2 linked regions of the Solanum lycopersicum genome follow. The main gene of each other region encodes a partner of the protein of the gene in region 2 in a complex. Links are inferred from orthologs where the notes say so. Each region holds a gene or a part of one and is shown on either strand. Other genes may lie near its edges.

Region 1 (3,843 bases), on a different chromosome or scaffold from region 2:
ATTACCTCTCGTCTTCGATTCCAACACTCTTCTTGAGTGACTTCTTAATTATTTTATTAAATTTAGTAACTTTTGAGTTATCAAATAAAGTTGAGTGATTTTCTATGTAAATCATTTTAAATTGAGTAAATTTGTAAGTGAGTTATTCAAAATTGAGTGATTATTATCTCTCAGTTTTATCAAAGGAGCAGGTTCTCTTTATCAGTTTTCCCTGTAATGTTTTAACAACATCTTCAATTCTTTCTGGAGATCTATCAAAGACATGGTTCCTACGTATCACTATTTTTTGTACACAAATTGCCACTTGTACAATGTTTATCAGTCAATAAAAAACTATGCAGTCTTGAATGTAAATTCAGAGATGATATCTTTTGTAGCTTTAAGCCAAAATTCTTTCCAATCTCCTCAACCAGGGAGGGAACATATTGGCCATTATTATTATTTTTTAATTTTATTTTTGAAGACAACGGGATTTCACAGTCACTATTCTTTGGGTGCGCACAAGGTAATTTTTTCGCTCTTATGCAATAGCTCACTACTTGCAAGCCTGCTGCAATGAGTTCGACCCAAAAGGCAAACTTCTTGCTTTCGCTGGCAGGGGGTTTCAAACATGCAAGTCCCAAGGTCAAACTACTGATCCAACCCAAAGGGTTAACAATTTGGCTATTATTGAAGTAATTTTTGATTTCGTGATGTGTATGCCATGAATCTTGTTAAAAGAGCATTGCATGACTTGCTAGTAGCAAATACAAAAAGAGAACTGATTCTGTACAGTGCAAATGTTGACATTGTGACAGTTCATTAAGACAACATTTTGAAGGGGAAATCTGAGTTTTGCAACATAACACTGAATTAAGGCAAAACAGCCATGTTGTATAGAACTGGAAATCATATATTGTATATACATAACTGGGAAGCATCATAAAATTTGTTCTTAGCACATATAAAGATGATCATTTGACCAACTGTTCCTTCTTCCCAGCTTCTTCAAGCTCTCGAAGACTCCCAACCTTTTGTTCAATCTCCTCTATCAGTTCATCACGCCACAGCTCTGCTCTCGCTTCTTCTTCGATGTCTTCTTGCTGCACAATCACAAAATCAGATTTGTAGTATCATTCACTACACAAATATCATGGCATTCCACCTTGTAAAGATATCTATATATCTTGAATAGGACATTTAGGTGCCAAAATTCATGTTGAAACAAATTCAGACAATTCGAAACTAGCTAGTATGATTTTGACATTTATATGCATAAAATTATTTCAGTAAAGTTTTATTTTAGAAACGAGAGATGTTCTTTTAATGGAAAAAACATTCACATCAAGAATTCAGGATTTAGACTACAATTAACTCTTTAAAAACCTTTTTTTCACCTGTCAAAGCTAAAACTCGCATGTGAGGTATAAACTATGATAATCCATGTTTTATCCGTGTGTTTGGTTGGAGGTATTAAGCAGTTCTGAGATTATTTATGATAAGTTATCACATTTACATGATCAAATAATTAATTCGTATAATTAATCCTAATATAACTTGTTCCCAACCAAACGACATATTAACTGAAACCTATAAACATTTCTCTGTCGCGAACAAGAAAGGGTATTTTTCCCTTTTGATTTTCTAACCTTGATAGAAAACGGAAAAGAAAAACTGTACCTTCTCATAGACCCAATGTCCAGTACCATCACCTCCATCTCCTCTGTATTGTTCTGAATCATAGTAAGGATCCTAAAAGAAAAAAGACACATAATAATGAGATACAACTCAATTTTATGAAGTTTAATTTCAAAAATTTTACTTTGGTAGAACCGAAGAAACAGCATCCCCAAACAGTGAACATGATGTAAAATGTATCTACAATGGAGAAAAAATTAGGTGTGAGAATTTTGAATTAGAATGATAAAAATGAATTAGTAAGTAATGATTACTCACAGACATTCTTCATGGCTTCATCACTAAGATGCCAAACAGATTTATGAGTTATGAGGTCTCTTTGACCTTCCATATGCTCAACTAATACTGCCATTAATGGCCAATCTGGGAGTGCCTTCACCCTATTTCTTTCAATCTAATCATAGAAATCCACAGCATTAATTATGCTTTTGCAAACCATACTTGTTCAAATCAATAATAACATGTAAAACCTACCTGGTGCCTCCTGCCTGCATTATTTCCAAAAGGTGAGGTTGGACAATGCCTTAGCTGCTGAGAAAGTGAAAAGAGGTAATTAGTTAAGCAGAATTAATTATAAAAAGATTGAATTTGAGATACAAGTAATGGTTTTAACTGATTTACTGAAAGGGTGCAGCAATTCCGATGTAGGACTAGGAATAGAGGGTTTGATGAATGTGAAGCTCATGATTTGAGTTTGGGATAGTTATTTTTGGGTTCCTCTATTCCTTTTATCCGAGTTATAAGGTTAGGAAAACACATAAGAAAAACACACGGTTCATCTATTCCCTTTATCCGAGTTATAAGGTTAAGAAAACACATAAGAAAAACACACTCTTCTGCTTACTCACAACTATTATTTTCTCAAACAATTTTGGTTTTGTCTTATTCTTCCTTTACCACACATCATACGCATCTTGGATATTGGAATTTAAATCATTGGGATATTTGCTACACTCAATACTTATTTAGCATAAAACTTATTAGAAACATTTATAATTAATGTAGGTGTAAATTACAAAAAATTATATATTATTTTATGTATCATAGAAGATATAACTAAAATATAAATAAGTAATACATAAAAAATGTATTTTCATTACTAATGTTAACATAAAATTATAACTAAAAAGAATTAAAAATATAGAAAAGGGTCTAAAATACCTTCGAAATATTGAAAATGGTACACAATTACCCTCCATCCATCTATTGGCCCCCAAATACCCTTCACACCCACCCTTGGGTCTAAATTTACCCATTCATTAACAAACCAAAATTAAAAATAATTAAATAATAATTTTTAATTACGTGGCACTCAACCATTGATTGTAATTTAATTATTTAAAATAATTTTAAACCCACCTATTTTAACTAAATCCGCCCACTTGACCCAATTTTAAAAATAACCATCTAATTAAAATATGCTAAAACCTTATTCCTCCCATTTTCACAATTTTCATGACTCCATTGTCTTTTCTTCTTCATGAAGAAATTTCCAGCTTCTTCTTCGATTTCTTGCCCTGAAGAACTTCAAAAGGATAATAAAATCCATCACTCCCCCCCCCCCCCTCACCCCCACTTTTTTTTTTTCAACACACACACATCACCTTCCTCTTTTTTCTTTGCAGATCAAGAAACCAGAGCAACTTATAAATAAAAAGTATTATCACTAACTAAAGTCTCCTAATTGCTTAACATCCATCTCTATCTTTCATTATCTTTCCTCTTATTCTACTCACTCTTCACCTTAATTCTTAAAACATTTTCCTAAGATTAAACCATTGAACTAGCTGAATTAAATCAAACAGTAATGCCATTACTGTTTGATTTAATTCAGCTAGTTCAATGGTTTAATCTTAGGAAAATTCAGCTAGTTCAATACCATTTTAATTTTGTGACATTTCTTAAGCATTTGAATTGATCTGGCAAATTGTGTTATCTTTCAAGGAAGATCGAAACGGGATGATGGTAGATGGGCGTGGCAAGATACCCTTCATCGTGATAGTCGTTCCAGTAGTAGCAGCAGGCGTTATGAGCCTTCACCATTGCCAAAGTTTCTTGGTGCTTCACCTGATTCTCGACTCGTTTTCCCATGGCTCGGCGATCATACTCCTCATTCTGCTGGTATGGTGTCTGTGAATTCTAACACTGGCGTTGTTTCGTAAAAAT
Region 2 (3,568 bases):
ACATTAGTTAATTCATTTGATATTTGAAGAGTAAGTGAAATTTTAGAACTTATCAAACTCTTGAGAATTACGGAGTTGTTATCAAACTCTTGAGAATTACGGAGTTGTGTTATCAAGAAACGAGAAACTCTTGTTTCTATTTAGCAATTAGCATGACCGTTGGTGTTTTCTTGTTCTTTGTTATTATTTATTGATTGAAGAGTAGGTATCTAAATGCAGATTGATAGGAACGTGCGCTTCAAAGCACTCTTCAATTGGATTTTCCTAATATTCTCTTTTAGACCAGAATGAGACACAAAGATCAAATTGTGAATATGAATTTCCATGTCTTTCAGCATTATTTTGGTGTTTGTTTTAACAGGCAACTGGAGCTGGATATGGAAACTGTAGTTAAGGTACTACAACCTGGTCCACTAGGCATTGTGGAACACAAATTTTCTGCTGAGGAAATACAGAAAGCCAGTGACACCGTTAAGCATGCAGTGAGTAATTGGCGTAGGCAGGCTAACATTGAGAAACATAGCCCCATCATGAAAGATTTTATTGATGTATGAGAGAATTGTTTCTTCATTTGCTGTCAATAATCTCATGAAAAGACAATAGTGTAAATTTGTAATCTCAATAGAAATAAACTATAGTTATACTTATGACTAAAGCTCTAGTCGTTCTGTTTCCCAATCCATTGTCATTGCAGTGTATGAACTGCGTATTGACAGTATAGAATATTGTTGTTGTATAATGCACATAGTTGTTCCTGTTAATATTGTTCCTTGAAGACTACTGCATATATAATGCAGCAAAACGAAAAGATGATAATCAAGATATCAAATGTGAGGGCAGTTTTTGCCTGATTACTCAGCTCCATGTTCCTTCCACCAAGTCGATCCACCATGTCTGGAACAGATTCCCAGTTTTCTACTTCCAGCATGCGTGGATCTTGCAGCCTCATTTTCATTTTCTCTGCTTCTCGACTTGCTGTCTCCTGAGCTAGTGTCCAATCATAGAATCGCCGTTGTTCCTCATCACTCAGGACATCATAAATTTCTCTTAGTTTCATAAATTTCTCTGATGCTGCTCTTATAGGAAGATTAGTTGTGTCTGGATGATACTCCTTTGATAGCCTCCTATATGCAGCTTTAATTTCCTCTAGATCAGCTGTTGCAGATACTCCCAAGAACCTGAATTTGAAACATTAGAATTATGAACTGTGAGCCACACATTAAGAGATAAGATGAAGATAGCAAAGTAGATAATGAAGACTAACTGGTAGTGAGAATTAGCTGAACTGTTGAGGAGGTCTGAGAATTTTTCATCAAAGAGATTCTTTTCGTCTGTTTTGATTCGTTCTTGTGTGGACCGTGACTTACTCTCTCCTACCCATCCTTCATCTTCGTTTTCCCAGTGAATTCTTGTGTCAACACCAGGAGGAGCACGTTGTCGCCCAGTAGCCCCTTCTTCTTTTGCATAAACTTGTAAGCCAACACGGCGTCTTCTTTGTTTTGTTGTCAACCATCTGGTATCTGTTCTGTGCTCATTATTGGTTTGGTTCCTTGTAAGAAAGGTGAATGGAGCTGGTGGAGCTGTTGCTGACGCCATGGAATTGGAAATTTGTTTTGTGTCTGATTTGAGTAGTCTTAGAGGGAGGGGCTTTCTCATCACCTTGTCTTTCTGTGTGGTTGAGGAAATAACTAAACATTTTGTTTGCTTTTTTGTCTACATTTGTGAAATATCAATAATTTTGATTTTTGACGTTTGTACTCTTTAACTTCAAGACAATTTATATACATTCTTTAAGGTACTAAAAAAATTATAAAAGTAAGTTGGACAGGTTGAGTTATGATCCACGTTTTAGTCCATTTCAGTCCAAGTAACTTTTGGGCGGATCAATGACCTGTCTATTTATTAACTCAGCTCATTTTTAACCCGAACAAATTCAGTCTTACCCGCTCATTGCCACCTATAAATACAATCATACTCCTTGGGAGTTGGGTGGCAAAAAGAATGAGTTTGTGAGTTAGTGTTCGGAACGCAACACACCCCTTGTCTCTATATTTTCCTTTTTATATAATTATCATGATATTCAAGTTAGCTGACATATATTTAAACTAATTTTATAGGATGAGCTAACTCGTAACTTGTTTTTTGAATTGTTGAAGTGGAGGTCAATGTAATTTATTTTCTTTTTTGTGGCAAATAAAAGAGAGCCAAGTTGTTCTTTTAACCCTTTTTAAATCTATCTTGCTTTCAATTCACAAGGCAGGATCATTATACAAATATCACATATTTTACTTTTTTGAATAGATTCCGAATTTACAAACTTTAAATCCTGGATTCACATCTCGAGGAAACACAACTTCATACTCAAGCATCTAACAAAAATAATTAAAACAGAATGACAAGTCATGTTGAAGTATGGCATTGTATATAATTTATTATTACAATGCTTAAAGATACATTAAAAGACACTTGTTTGAGAAAACAGAGTTTTCATTGAGCATACTAAATAAAAGATGCTCAATTCCACAAACATTAAGAAAAACCAAACTTACAAGGTGTTAATATGCACTTTCTACATGATATATTGTAGTTTTACTAGCGTGAGTCTGAACTAATCATGCCAGTAAATTTCGCATACTAGATATGTAAAGCAAAAAAAAAAGTGTATATATATATATACACACTATAGCCAAAGAGCTTTAGCTTTCATGAGTAGAGGAACAAGATTTCCCTCTAGATGAAGACTCATAATCTCATTGGCACCGCCAATTAATTCTTGTCCAATAAACACTGCTGGCACGCTAGGCCTTCGGCCTAGCATCAGCAGAGCTCGCTCCACTTGTAGCCCATTGGGAAGTTCATCCAATTCATATACAGTTAAATTAGCACCAAAACTTGATATAAGTGTCTTTATAGTGTGACACATACAACACTTGCTTTTGCTAAACATAACCACTGGCTTTTCAGCTACCATTTTTTTCAATGACTCCATTTTTAATTAATGAAAAAAAAAGATTAATGTAATATAAGAGAATTGATAACTTGTTGAATTGATGATGAATTTGAAACTCTTATTGAAGCTATTTATATACTAATAGTGACTTGTGAAGATTCAATATGCTTCCTCTAAACCCCCCCCCCCCCCCCCCCCCCCACCCAAATAAATTAAAGGAAGGAATAATTTTTTAGATAAGGAGTTGATACTGTTAGATAGCATTAGAAGTTCTTGATACTGTCTTAAAAGTGTACCAAAAATATATATATAAAAAAAAAATCCACCATAAAGTATGGAGGCTAGTAAGTGAACTTTGTTACATATCTACATATTTTTTTTCCAATTAAGTTCCAATATAAATTCTTCTTCTAATTAAACACATGGGTTTTACAATCAATAAATTATCTCTTTTTTGGTTAAAAACATGTATATACACTAATTCAAAAATAACTTTTAACGAAAGTAAATAAATATATTAGTAAAGAGTGTTAAAGTTTTTATCGACATTAGTTAAGTGCTATTAAATCCAATGTTACTAAATGCTATAAAAAAAATACTAAATTATCACTAAAAATA

The links.
Region 1: NAD(P)H-quinone oxidoreductase subunit T, chloroplastic (region 2) and photosynthetic NDH subunit of subcomplex B 4, chloroplastic share a complex: the UniProt entries of both Arabidopsis thaliana proteins name them as parts of the chloroplast NDH complex. The link is inferred for Solanum lycopersicum from reciprocal best matches to the Arabidopsis thaliana genes NdhT and PnsB4.

What each region holds. Positions count from the first base shown.
Region 1 is NC_090811.1:46,151,157-46,154,999, forward strand, and holds photosynthetic NDH subunit of subcomplex B 4, chloroplastic, read right to left. Parts: upstream 2,578-3,843; 5' UTR 2,363-2,577; coding exon 2,291-2,362; intron 2,209-2,290; coding exon 2,152-2,208; intron 2,072-2,151; coding exon 1,936-2,071; intron 1,858-1,935; coding exon 1,802-1,857; intron 1,732-1,801; coding exon 1,660-1,731; intron 1,083-1,659; coding exon 954-1,082; 3' UTR 833-953; downstream 1-832. UniProt on the Arabidopsis thaliana protein: NDH shuttles electrons from NAD(P)H:plastoquinone, via FMN and iron-sulfur (Fe-S) centers, to quinones in the photosynthetic chain and possibly in a chloroplast respiratory chain.
Region 2 is NC_090808.1:63,749,506-63,753,073, reverse strand, and holds NAD(P)H-quinone oxidoreductase subunit T, chloroplastic, read right to left. Parts: upstream 2,034-3,568; 5' UTR 1,657-2,033; coding exon 1,265-1,656; intron 1,179-1,264; coding exon 758-1,178; 3' UTR 555-757; downstream 1-554. Other genes in the region: uncharacterized protein, read left to right, coding at 362-554; monothiol glutaredoxin-S2-like, read right to left, coding at 2,681-2,989. UniProt on the Arabidopsis thaliana protein: NDH shuttles electrons from NAD(P)H:plastoquinone, via FMN and iron-sulfur (Fe-S) centers, to quinones in the photosynthetic chain and possibly in a chloroplast respiratory chain.